Linked DNA regions of Oryctolagus cuniculus. The protein of the gene in region 1 purifies or fractionates together with the protein of each later gene. This does not show direct contact. Links are inferred from orthologs where the notes say so. Each region holds a gene or a part of one and is shown in the gene's direction. Other genes may lie near its edges.

Region 1 (4,049 bases):
CCCAGGCTAGAAACTGACCCCCTCCTGACCTTCATCGTGTCTGCCTCCCAAGCTGACCAGACTCTCACTGTGACCCCTCTCCGGGATTCCCAGGGCCTGTTCCCTGACCTCTATCACTTCTTACAAGTTTTCCTCCCTCAAGCACTGCGAAATCTCCTCAAGTGAACATGGGCCATAGAGGGCAATAAAGCTGCTAGTTTAATACAAATACTCTCCAGTTTTCTCTGATTTTCTCCCGGTACTTTCCGCCTCCTTCTTGGGCTCTCCCACACCTTAATACAGCCCTCTCAGATCTGCCTTGTCTGACCCCGATCACCCTGGTCTTCCCACTTAGCACTGCCTGCAGGCACCTGGCAGAGTTCCCGAATGACCGTGCTTGCGGGCTTTGCAGCAAGTCTGCCTCCAGTGAGGCTGCTGCCCCGGGTTTACACGTGGTGTCAAAGCCGGAGATGTGGGTTCAGACCTCTTCCATTCTCGTTCTTCAACTGAGTAATAGATTTTCACACCGGAACATGGGTAAAAAGCAACCCAGCAGAATGCAGGCTCCGAAGCGGGTGGCAGGGCCCATGGCTGGGTTCTCCTGCGCCCCTGAACTGCTGCGGGTCAGAGGTCTGGTGTCCTTGTCGCAGTACCAGCATGCGGAGTTGCAAACTAGTGTCATGTGAGCGAACCTCACTCGGGCAGATGGTTTCAGACCCGAGCCCCTGTTACGTGTACATTCCTCTCTCAAGTCCAGAGCGGGAACAAAAGGAACCTCGCCAGCTCCCGCCTCCGCGCAGCTCTGGCTTCTCGGCCCCGTGAGCTTCGCGGGCGATGCGAGGGGCTGGCAGAACCTACCGTCAGGCCGCTTGCCGCAGGAAGGCGGGAGGGGTGCGCCTGCGGGAGCCGGCGCCGCACTGGGTGGGCCGCTGTGCCACGTAGCCGCGAAGGGGCGGCCCTGCTAGCCGGTTCTCACAGTTTCCCCGCCCCCGCCTCCCCCCCCCCGCCTTCTACCTCCACCTCGGGGCTCTGATTGGTCGGTTGCAGCAGAAGGGCCGGCCAGTCACAAGCCCAGCGCGCCGGCTGCGCGGCCCCTCAGGCCCCACCCCCTCCAACGCGGCTGGATACCGAACTGTCGTGCGTGTGCCTTCTATGCCGTCCTCGCTTTCCGGCTGCTGTTTCTCCACGGCTCTCCCCTTACCCCCTCCCTTTTCTCCCTGGCGGCTTACTTTGCGGCAGCGCTGAGAGCCCAACCCCCTTTCTCTGCGGAATCACCATGGCGGCCGGGGTAAGTTTGCCGGGTCTAGTGAGCCGGGTCACCTTATCCGCCGCCATCCTCTGTCTGAGTAGGGCCAGTCGGCGCCGGAGGCGTTCTGGAGCTGAGTGGGGGACCGATCCGGAGTTTACAGACCGTACTGTAGGAGAACGGAGGTCCTAGGGCCCGGAAGGGAACTGAGGCTGGGGCTCTCCGAGGCCAGAGGTGGAAGAGTCTGGGGTAGAGGAGCAATGAGATGCTGGATCTGGGCCGTCTGGAGCCTGACAGGGGGTTCAGCTTCATTGCTTCGTTGAGACGCGGGATCCGGGCAGGTTGGCGGAACTTTCGCGGCCGTTTTGTGGGGCAGCAGCGGGGGCAGAGCGAAGAGGAGGGTCTTTGTGGAGAGGCTCGGCTGGCATGGTTAGGGGTTGCCGCTCAGGGAGGCTTGGGGGAGCGAGGCATCTCTGGACGGTGAGGCCAGACCGGGTGGATGGATCCCTCTGGCCGGGCTCTCCGAGATGGCAGAAGCTGGGAACTCGCTGCGGGACGGGACGGGACGGGAGGGAAGGCGTGCGCGACTCGGCAAGAAAGGCTTTTTAGGGCAAGGAGTCGATTTAGGAAGAGGGCATGCTATTGGTTGTCTCGATGGCTATCCTGAGGGGAACTTGAAACGTCCGGATGTGTGTGCCTTGCAGAGGAGGTTGGTGGCTCTGAGGCAGTGATGAGCTCAGCGGTGGAGTAGGCAGGCACTGGGGAACCGTCAATGAATGAAACGCAGCCCCCGGGAAGGCAGGGGTGTAGGTTTGTAGGCAGACGGAGTCTCAGGGAGGCAGTGCTGGGCTTCTTGGAGATAAATATGAGGGGAAGGAGAATGAGTGCTTCCCGAGATGTCCTTAGGGAAGGTCAGTTTGTCCCCGAGCTTTATTTAGCCGCTGATGCGTAGTTCTGTGCTTGGTGCTTCGGAGGACTCTGATTACATGTGGCAAGCACTAGGGAACCTGGTTTCCCCGAGGGAGTAAAAGTGAGCGGAACCGATTGTGATGGCTGAGGAAAGCCATGCTGGCATATGGCGCGCAGGCTGGGACCCCTCCTCACATTAATCTTTTCCCCTTTTCTTACATAGACCCTGTACACATACCCTGAAAACTGGAGGGCCTTTAAGGCCCTCATCGCTGCTCAGTACAGCGGGGCTCAGGTCCGCGTGCTCTCCGCACCCCCCCACTTCCACTTCGGCCAGACCAACCGAACCCCTGAATTTCTCCGCAAATTCCCTGCTGGCAAGGTGAGTAAGGAAGTGGTGAGGGGCTTTTGGACCTGGGACCCTTAGGAGCCCTGATTCCGTCACTCTGGGGATGGGCCTTATCTTTAAAAGACAGCTTCTCATGTTATTTTCTTTCACATTTCAGTGGTTAAGAACACTTTCTTAGATAATTGTAGTTGTGAAAAATAATAGCTCCTCAGTGACTTTATAAAACTGACAGGCATGCTTTATATTTCTGAGAAAGAGAATGAGTTTTGGCCAACTATTTCAGTGTGAGTATATAGATTATATATTGTGAGCAAGGTTTTTAATCCAAGGGGCTTACAGAGATAGGGAAATTACTTCACTAAGAGTGGAGGGATCAGGTGTATATGCGTAGGCCAGATACAGTGAGTGATACAGCAAACATGTATAACTTCGTTTCTAGCCCCTTCGTATTTGAAGACTTCTATACAAATACCTTATAATAACCAAATATTTTGGGTTTCTTAGTTTAGACATGGCAAATTCAGATTACAGGGGATACCAAGTTATCAAAGTCTGTTTGTTAGACGGTATTAAGAGTTTGGATTACAAGAATTGTCAGCCTTATGTAGACAGTTTTGTCCAAAGCAGTTCAGTTCCTGGGATTCGCTAATGAAATGTACTTTATGTTTTCACTGTTTTGCCCCCAGGTTCCAGCATTTGAAGGTGATGATGGATTCTGTGTGTTTGAGAGCAACGCCATTGCCTACTATGGTAATTTACAGGCACTTATGGGAATGGGAGGGTGTGGAGGTGAGGGTGTAGGAGAGGATGCGGGTGAGCTGGAGTGGACAAGGAAGAATTCTTGGGAACCTAGACTTATGTTGGCATGATCCCAAAGTTCTGCTCTTTGTGTTCTGCCTCTGCAGTGAGCAATGAGGAGCTGCGGGGAAGTACTCCAGAGGCAGCCGCCCAGGTGGTGCAGTGGGTGAGCTTTGCCGATAGTGACATAGTGCCCCCAGCCAGCACTTGGGTGTTCCCCACCTTGGGCATCATGCATCACAACAAGCAGGTGAGCCTCGGAACTTGGGGAGAAGCAGGAGCAGGGTTGGCATCAGCTTCTGCATGCTGGGGAGTAAGAAATACAATAGGCTGAGAAAGCAAAGTACCACAGATGTGTGGGCAATGAGGAAACGTAGGCTTTGGAGTATACATGTGGGACAGTGGGTGCTGTCTGGCTTTTTTTTTTTTTTTTTTTTTTTTGTCAGTGGAAGTGTTATCTGTCATAAGAGATCAGAGGAGAGATTTCTGTTGTAGGAAGTTTACCAAGTTGTAGAAGAGTTAAACCAGATGACGTCCAAGATTCCATCTACTTATCCAAAGATAAATGAGTACCATCATTACTGTGGAAATGAAGCCAGACTGCCATAAAGAAATTTAACCATGGAGAGCTTTGTGATTTGGAATCATCTTAGAATCTGACTCCATTGAAAGAGGGCTGGTCTGGGTGAGCCAGACTCAATTCAGTGAAGCAGCTTTTTTTAGTTCTGTGGAGGGTTGAGGGAAGGGAATTGCTTCCCACTGAGAAGT
Region 2 (4,185 bases), on another chromosome or scaffold:
CGCCGCCAGAGCCCAGAGTAATTCATACAAAAGAGGACTCGCCTCAGTCTCGGGGAAGCCCAGGGACCGTCGCTAAACTCCCGTTACCCTAGAACCGAGAGATCGCCGCGTCCCCGCCCCCTACCCCTCGCGCTCGTCGTCACCGGGACCGAGGCGAGCATGCGCGAGGCGCTGTGTGCTCGTCAGTGGTCGGAGCGCACATCGCCCACGGTCCCCGAGGCGTTGGGGGAGGGGACGGCGATTGAACCGGTGCCTAGTGGAGGTGGCGCGGGGCAAACTGGGAAAGCGGTGTCGTGTGCTGACTCCGCCCTCTTCCCGAGGGTGGGGGAGAACCGTATATAAGTGCCGTAGTCGCCCTGGACGTTCTTTTTCGCAACGGGTTTGCCGCCAGAACACAGGTGAGTGTCGGGTGTGGCTTCCGCGGGTCTGGCCTTGAGCGGGCTGGGGCCCTCGCGTGCTCGGGGACACTGCCATGCCACTGAGCCTCTTGACGAGGTTCCTGGCTCCGAATTTCGGGCTGTAACGGGGCGGGAGGGTTGGAGGTTTGCGCGTTTTCCAGGAGCCTCTTCCTCGTGCTGGAGTTGAGGCCTGGCGTGGCCGCCGCGTGCGAGTCCTCTCGCCTTCGCGCCGGCCTGGCTAGCCTCGCTCGCGGGGCCCTTCGGCCCTTTGAGTTTTTACGTGGATCGGTACGGCTCTTTTTTTGTTCGTCGAGATGGGCCCGCCGAGGCCGGGCGGGCTACCCCGCGCGTTCGTCGTCCGGCCCGAGGGGGTGGCAGGGCGGCCGCGCGGCGTAGGGACAGCGAGCGGCGGGGCCCGCCCGTCCGGGCGCACATGTCGGGCGCGGCCTGGGCGAGGCCCGACGGCGCCGCGCCTGCCCAGGCCGGGCGAGGGGAGAGGCGAGGGTCGTGGGGCGGGCGGCTCGGTGGGGCCGCGGCCGCCCCACCCCGGGCGGCGGAGCCCGGCCCGCTCGGCACCAGTTGCGTGCGCGGAAAAAGATGGCCGCTCGCCGTCCCCGCTGCAGGGAGCTCAAAATGGAGGACGCGGTGGCCCGGGAGAGCGGGCGGGTGAGTCACCCACACAAAGGAAAAGAGCCTTCCCCTCTTCGGCCGCCGCTTCCTGCGACCCCACGGGGTACAGGGCGCCGTCTGGGCACCTGGCTTCTTCGTGTGGCCTTTGGAGTTCGGCTTGGCTCGGCTGGGGGCGGAGATTTTTTAGGCGATGGAGTTAACTCACTCGGTGGGTGGAGACTGAAGAGTTAGGCCAGCTTGGCATTGGATGTAATTCTCCTTGGAATTTGCCCTTTTGAGTTTTGAACGTGGCTTAGTCTCAACCCTCGGACAGTGGTTCAAAGGTTCCCCCCCTTTTTCCATTTTAGGTGTCGTGAAAACCACCGCTAAATCAAAGCCAAAATGGGAAAGGAAAAGACTCACATCAACATCGTCGTCATTGGCCACGTAGATTCGGGCAAGTCCACCACCACTGGCCATCTGATCTACAAATGTGGTGGCATCGACAAAAGAACCATTGAAAAATTTGAGAAGGAGGCTGCCGAGGTATGTCCAGTATCGCAAGGGAAAGATGCTGAATTACATTAAGTCTGGCCACTAAAATGAGAGTGCTATGACTATAAAAGACAACAGTGATTAGTTGTCTGAATGTGAATGTTAAAATCACGAGCCACCATATCGACTGGAGAGCCACCTAGGCCCAGCAGTTTGGGAAGCGGAATGCATTCCCAAGCGGAGGGGGGCATGGGGTTTCAAGCTTTGCTGTGTCTTAGTAACCGTCTGAGTGCTCTGTGTAATTACAGATGGGAAAGGGCTCCTTCAAGTATGCCTGGGTCTTGGATAAACTGAAAGCCGAGCGTGAGCGTGGTATCACCATCGACATCTCCCTGTGGAAATTTGAGACCAGCAAGTATTACGTGACTATCATTGATGCCCCAGGACACAGAGACTTCATCAAAAACATGATTACAGGCACATCTCAGGTTTGTGCAACTAGTAACTGTAGACATAAGGTTTTCTAGGCGGGGGGTGGGTGAGTTCCTCCTTAGGTTTGAGGTACCTTCGTTCACAGTGTGTGTCCTTGATTTCTTTAAAGGCTGACTGTGCCGTCCTGATTGTTGCTGCTGGTGTCGGGGAATTTGAAGCTGGTATCTCCAAGAACGGGCAGACCCGTGAGCATGCCCTTCTGGCTTACACGCTGGGTGTGAAACAGCTAATTGTTGGTGTTAACAAGATGGATTCCACTGAGCCACCCTACAGCCAGAAGAGATACGAGGAAATCGTTAAGGAAGTCAGCACCTACATTAAGAAAATTGGCTACAACCCTGACACAGTAGCATTTGTGCCAATTTCTGGTTGGAACGGTGACAACATGCTGGAGCCAAGTGCTAATGTAAGTGACTTTCAAGACAGTGCTTGTTAAAGAGCTGGAAGTGGTGATGTGATAGAATTAATTGTTCTCTTGTGTTTCAGATGCCGTGGTTCAAGGGATGGAAAGTCACCCGCAAAGATGGCAATGCCAGTGGAACCACACTGCTTGAAGCCCTGGACTGCATCCTTCCACCAACTAGACCAACTGACAAGCCTCTGCGTCTGCCCCTACAGGATGTCTACAAAATTGGTGGTAAGTTGGGTATTAATGTAACATCAGAATATAACTTGAATTGGAACAGGTGAAAAATCTTTGGCCCTCAATAACTCTTTGGTAATCTGCAAATATTTTAGGTATTGGCACTGTCCCTGTGGGCCGAGTGGAGACTGGTGTTCTCAAACCTGGCATGGTGGTAACTTTTGCTCCAGTCAATGTCACAACTGAAGTCAAGTCCGTCGAAATGCACCATGAAGCTTTGAGTGAAGCTCTTCCTGGGGACAATGTGGGCTTCAATGTCAAGAACGTGTCTGTCAAAGATGTTCGTCGTGGCAACGTTGCTGGTGACAGCAAAAATGACCCACCAATGGAAGCAGCTGGCTTCACTGCTCAGGTAACAATTTAAAATGATCTGTTAATTGACAATGTTCATGCATACTCAAGGGGGTAAGCAATCTGATGCATGTATGAAGTGTTATCACATCAGGGGAGTTAGCATTTCTAGCTGTTACCACAGTTCAGTTTGAGAAGCACTAAAATGCATATCCTTTTTTTCCCAGGTGATCATCCTGAACCATCCAGGTCAGATCAGTGCTGGGTATGCCCCTGTACTGGATTGTCACACAGCTCACATTGCTTGCAAGTTTGCTGAGCTGAAGGAAAAGATTGATCGTCGTTCTGGAAAGAAGTTGGAAGATGGCCCTAAATTCTTGAAATCTGGTGATGCTGCCATTGTTGATATGGTTCCCGGCAAGCCCATGTGTGTTGAGAGCTTCTCTGACTATCCTCCTCTGGGTAAGGATTTTTTTTTTTATTGCTATTACAAGTTGTACTAAAGATTAACAATTGCTTCTGTGAACTATGTGTCTCATGGCAACTCAATACTTGTTTTAATAGGTCGTTTCGCTGTCCGTGATATGAGACAGACGGTTGCTGTGGGTGTGATCAAAGCAGTGGACAAGAAGGCTGCTGGAGCTGGCAAGGTCACCAAGTCTGCCCAGAAAGCTCAGAAGGCTAAATGAATATTACCCCTAATACCTGCCACCCCAGTCTTAATCAGTGGTGGAAGAACGGTCTCAGAACTGTTTGTCTCAATTGGCCATTTAAGTTTAATAGTAAAAGACTGGTTAATGATAACAATGCATCGTAAAACCTTCAGAAGGAAAGGAGAATGTTTTGTGGACCATTTTTTTTGTGCGTGGCAGTTTTAAGTTATTAGTTTTTAAAATCAGTACTTTTTAATGGAAACAACTTGACCAAAAATCTGTCACAGAATTTTGAGACCCATTAAAACAAAGTTTAATGAGAAACCTGTGTCTTCTTGTCAACACTGGACCTGTCAAATGTGTTCCAGGTTTTTCTAATTAGAATTGGCTGGAATTTTAAAACTCCATGGGTTAGGGATTTTTTCCCACCTGTTTGTTTTAAGCTATGGAGGGCTGTTAGCCCTGCTGGTTAGAACTGTTGACATGTAATTTAGTTTAGAAAGCAAAATTCTGTAATCTTAAGGGATGAAATGTTGCATATAAAATTGTGTAGCTACAAGTAAATTTGTTAGAATCATTAAATTTTGGTTTCCCAAATTACTTG
Region 3 (3,940 bases), on another chromosome or scaffold:
TCCTCTGCATCCCTGGCCATGGGGTCAGGGGTCCCTGGACTTGCGGTCTGCAAACACAGGGGCAGCCCCCAGGAGGGCCTGCCACTGTCCGGGGGCCCCACCCGACTGTCCTCCCCGCGGCCAGCCACGGGCATCACCCCAGTAGCAGGTGCAGGGGCCCCCACCTGGTGCCGCCCCTGGCCAGTCCCAGGGGACCCCGCCGGCCACGGGAACAGGCAGAGGGCTGTTGGCATCCACCTCTCCTCCCCCCAGACCCTGCAGACCAAGGCCTGAGCCGGGGGGGGGGGGGGCGGACAGCAGGGGAGCAAAGCCTGGGGACGTGATGAGGACAGGGGCTGCGAGAGGCCCCCACCGTGACTCGCACCACATCCACGCTGCCTGCCCCCCGCCTGGAGCCTCGGGAGCTGTCCAACCTTAGGGACTCTCCCTCCCAGCAGGAGGCCCTCTGAAATCAGCAAGCAAGGGCTTGGCTCAGCCAGGGGAGGCCGTGGGCTGGGGGCTGGCTCCCTTAGGACCCCGGGCTGTGGCTGTTTCCCCAAAGCCCACTCTGCCCCACACCTGTCACCGATGTGAGTGGGTGCTGGGAGCGGCCAGGAGCAGGGGACAGAGGCTCCCCCCGGGGCCTCACGGGCCTGCTGTGGGCAGGGTCCCACCCAGAGGGGCTGCACAGGCTCATGAGGCCAGACCTGGAGCGCCCCCCCCCCCCGCCCCACTGGGACACAGACCAGGACTTGGGCTTGCTTCAGGCCTGCTCGCCTGCCCGTCCCTCCTCACCTGCAGACTCCTGCCCTGCTGTGCCCGCTCATCCGGGCCTCCATCTGCCCAGAGGCCGCGACCCCCCCTCCCCCGCCCCGCCGCGGTGTCAGCCAGGGTCTCTGTCTATGTCCCGGTACCCATCCCCCGCCGCCTCGCCGCATCCCGCGCTCTCCCTCCATCGCTGGTGCTCGCTCCCTCCCCCCGCCTCCCGCGCGCCCGCTCCCGCGCGCCCCTGGGCTCGCCCCGGCTGCGCCCGCCCGCGCGCGCCGCATTGCCGTACTGCAGGGCGCGGTGCATTGCGCCCGCACCGTCAATAGGTGGACCCCTCCCGGAGACATAAAACCGCCGGCGCCGGCGCCGCCAGTCCCTCTGGCTGAGACCTCGGCTCCGGGTAAGGACGTTCGGCTTCCGGGGCCCGCCCCAGGCCCGGCTTTTCGCCGAGGGACCTCTCCCCGGAGACCGGCCCGGGGCGCAGAGCGGAGCCGCTCTGTGCGCCTGGCGACGCCCCGCCGCTCGGCCGGGGCTGTGGCCGACCCCCGTGCCGGGGTCGGTCCCTGCGGGCAGGCGGGTGGGGAGGGGACCGAGGCGCTCTGGTGTGCAAGGCGGCGGCTCCGGGGGGCTACGCCGCCCAGCCGCCGTGACCTTGGGCCGCCCGGGCCCTGCGGGTTTGGGGAGGGTTGCAGCGAGCTGTCGGGGGTGGGGGCGGTCTGGCCTGTGCCGGTGCGGGGCAGTCTGGGGAGGACAAGAAGGGAGCTTTTCCAGGTCCCTGGCCGGTGTTCCCACCCCCAGGGTGCCGCAGCCTCTGTCTTCCCCTCCCCCAGTCTCCTGGCCTCTGGGGTCAGCAGTGGTGTGGAGGGATTCTCCTTGACCTCCAGGATGGGCAGGCGCTGAACCCCAGATTCTGGACCAGAGGGAAGAGGGGAGCACAGGGTGCCCGGCCGCTGAGCTGGCTGGCGGGAGCCTCCCCCCCAGCTGGAGCAGGGACCCCCTCCGGCCCTGCTGTCTGTCCCCTGGGGGCTGTCTGATGTCTGGGGGAGTCCCTAGCCAGGCACCACATGGGGCCTGCGTCCCCCCTGCCAGCCCGCGGGCAGGGACAGCGGAAGATGGCGCACTGACCGCCTCTCCAGCAGGTGGGGGCGGGGCGCTTGTCCCTGGCCCTGCGGCGGCTGGGGGGCCGGCAGGGTGACTCATCACCCGGCTGCACTGGTCCTGGGCTCCCCGGCACGGTGCCCCTTGTCTTCCAGGTGGGGGCTTTGCAAGGAGCAGGGGCGGGGGCTGCAGCAGACGGAGGCAGGGGCGGGGGCGGGGGCTCAGCTGGGGCAGGCCCAGGTGGGGGCTGGGGGCTCCTCCCTGAGCCACCCCCTCCCCAGCAGAGCCCCCGGCAGAATGGGCAAGGAGAAGACGCACATCAACATCGTGGTCATCGGCCATGTGGACTCGGGCAAGTCCACCACCACCGGCCACCTCATCTACAAGTGCGGGGGCATCGACAAGAGGACCATCGAGAAGTTTGAAAAGGAGGCGGCCGAGGTGAGCCTGGGCCCCAGCTGCCCCCCAGAGGCCCGCCCCCGCGTGGGGCTGAGGCAGCGCCCCCTGAGGACCCAGGGAGGGGGCAGGGCGGCCTCAGCTGCCAGGTCCCTGTTGGGGAGGGGCGGGCCTGCCCTGCAGGGGTCCACAGAGGGTTCCAGAGCCCTCTCCTTGCCCCCAGGGCAGAGGCTGGGGCTGGAGGTGGCACTGCCCTCACTTGTCCCGGGGCCTGGCCAGGCGCAGCTGCTATTAATAGCGGGACGACGGGCAGGCGGCCCAGCGCCGCTCTCTCCTACTGACCTGCTAGGGCCGCGTGTCCAGGAGGACGGCCCTCAGCTGACCTTGCCTCTTTCCTGGCTGAGACCCGTGGGTGGGCCGTGGCCCCGGCCCCCACCCCCAGCTCTGGGAGACACTGTGTGCGTGCGGCAGAGCCTGGGCTGGGCCCCTGGGAGGGGGGGAAGGGGTGCTCTGAGCCGCAGCCGGTGCCGGCTCAGCCCTGGGTGGGCAGCCCTCCTGCCCGAGCCCGGCCCGGCTGGACAGCACCTGCACCTCAAGCTGCAGCCCTGGCCTAGGCTGTGGGGGTCTCCCAGGTGCTTGCCAGCTGCGCCCGGCCCAGCTCCCCGGGGAGGCGAGAAGAGGAGGCGGAGCCTCACAGGCAGTGGAAAGAGCTGGAAATTTCCCAAGATTTTTTTCTGTTTATAAATAACAGAGGGGCTATTGATTTGGCAGCCGACACCCAGTGCGGTGCCTCTGGGTGACCCAGAGTCTGAGGGTGTCACCGACCTCAGATGAGGGGCCCCCCACCCTGGGAGTGGATTCATCCTGACGGCCTCCTTCGGGGAAGACAGCTCCCGGGCCCTCACGCCACCTGCTGGTGGACATGTGAACTGCTGCAGGGAGGACTGGGGACCCCTGCTCTCAGGGGCTGCTCCCCGGTCCAGGGCAGCCCGGGCACTGCGCAGGCTCCACCCTGGGCTGGGTGTGACCGCTGGGCCCTGGGTCCTGCCTGCAGATGGGGAAAGGCTCCTTCAAGTACGCCTGGGTGCTGGACAAGCTGAAGGCCGAGCGGGAGCGCGGCATCACCATCGACATCTCCCTCTGGAAGTTCGAGACCACCAAGTACTACATCACCATCATCGACGCGCCCGGCCACCGCGACTTCATCAAGAACATGATCACGGGCACGTCCCAGGTGGGCAGGGCGGGGGCGTGGAGGGGGCACCTCCCCTGCTCCCCCTCTCGGCCCCAGCCAGCTGCGGGGGAACAGGTGGGGACACGGGATGACCCCCCAACAGCTGTAGAGGCCAAGACAGGAACAGCAAGGTGTGGGTGACAGCAGTGGGCCCAGGCAGGCAGAGAGCCGGGCAGCACCCAGGAGGCCACACACTCGGCCCTGCAGCGAGGGACAGGGCCACAGGCGCTGATGGTGGGGCGGGGCCCCAGGGCTGGGGGCCAGCGACTGCCCACCCCCGCTCCGCTCCCGCGGGCTGGGGCTCACGGTGCCGGGCCTGCCCCAGGCGGACTGCGCGGTGCTCATCGTGGCCGCGGGCGTGGGCGAGTTTGAGGCCGGCATCTCCAAGAACGGGCAGACGCGGGAGCACGCGCTGCTGGCCTACACGCTGGGCGTGAAGCAGCTCATCGTGGGCGTCAACAAGAT

The links.
Region 2: the proteins of EEF1G (region 1) and EEF1A1 purify together in Homo sapiens (affinity purification with mass spectrometry; 5 studies listed by BioGRID and IntAct, counting the BioPlex papers as one, with this or other methods). This does not show direct contact. The link is inferred for Oryctolagus cuniculus from reciprocal best matches to the Homo sapiens genes EEF1G and EEF1A1.
Region 3: the proteins of EEF1G (region 1) and EEF1A2 purify together in Homo sapiens (affinity purification with mass spectrometry; 4 studies listed by BioGRID and IntAct, counting the BioPlex papers as one, with this or other methods). This does not show direct contact. The link is inferred for Oryctolagus cuniculus from reciprocal best matches to the Homo sapiens genes EEF1G and EEF1A2.

The regions. Positions count from the first base shown.
Region 1 is NC_091432.1:8,977,992-8,982,040, forward strand, and holds the start of EEF1G (elongation factor 1-gamma), read left to right. Parts: upstream 1-1,245; 5' UTR 1,246-1,255; coding exon 1,256-1,267; intron 1,268-1,914; exon of another isoform or gene 1,915-2,121; coding exon of another isoform or gene 2,122-2,136; intron 2,137-2,357; coding exon 2,358-2,516; intron 2,517-3,169; coding exon 3,170-3,233; intron 3,234-3,388; coding exon 3,389-3,531; intron 3,532-4,049. Other genes in the region: TUT1 (speckle targeted PIP5K1A-regulated poly(A) polymerase), read left to right, coding at 1-165. UniProt on the Homo sapiens protein: Probably plays a role in anchoring the complex to other cellular components.
Region 2 is NC_091436.1:99,027,734-99,031,918, forward strand, and holds EEF1A1 (elongation factor 1-alpha 1), read left to right. Parts: upstream 1-1,381; 5' UTR 1,382-1,409; coding exon 1,410-1,553; intron 1,554-1,810; coding exon 1,811-1,990; intron 1,991-2,103; coding exon 2,104-2,400; intron 2,401-2,480; coding exon 2,481-2,631; intron 2,632-2,732; coding exon 2,733-2,989; intron 2,990-3,155; coding exon 3,156-3,390; intron 3,391-3,492; coding exon 3,493-3,617; 3' UTR 3,618-3,902; downstream 3,903-4,185. UniProt on the Homo sapiens protein: Translation elongation factor that catalyzes the GTP-dependent binding of aminoacyl-tRNA (aa-tRNA) to the A-site of ribosomes during the elongation phase of protein synthesis.
Region 3 is NC_091442.1:447,922-451,861, forward strand, and holds the start of EEF1A2 (elongation factor 1-alpha 2), read left to right. Parts: upstream 1-1,136; 5' UTR 1,137-1,147; intron 1,148-1,183; exon of another isoform or gene 1,184-1,302; intron 1,303-1,914; exon of another isoform or gene 1,915-2,000; intron 2,001-2,129; 5' UTR 2,130-2,142; coding exon 2,143-2,286; intron 2,287-3,295; coding exon 3,296-3,475; intron 3,476-3,800; coding exon 3,801-3,940. UniProt on the Homo sapiens protein: Translation elongation factor that catalyzes the GTP-dependent binding of aminoacyl-tRNA (aa-tRNA) to the A-site of ribosomes during the elongation phase of protein synthesis.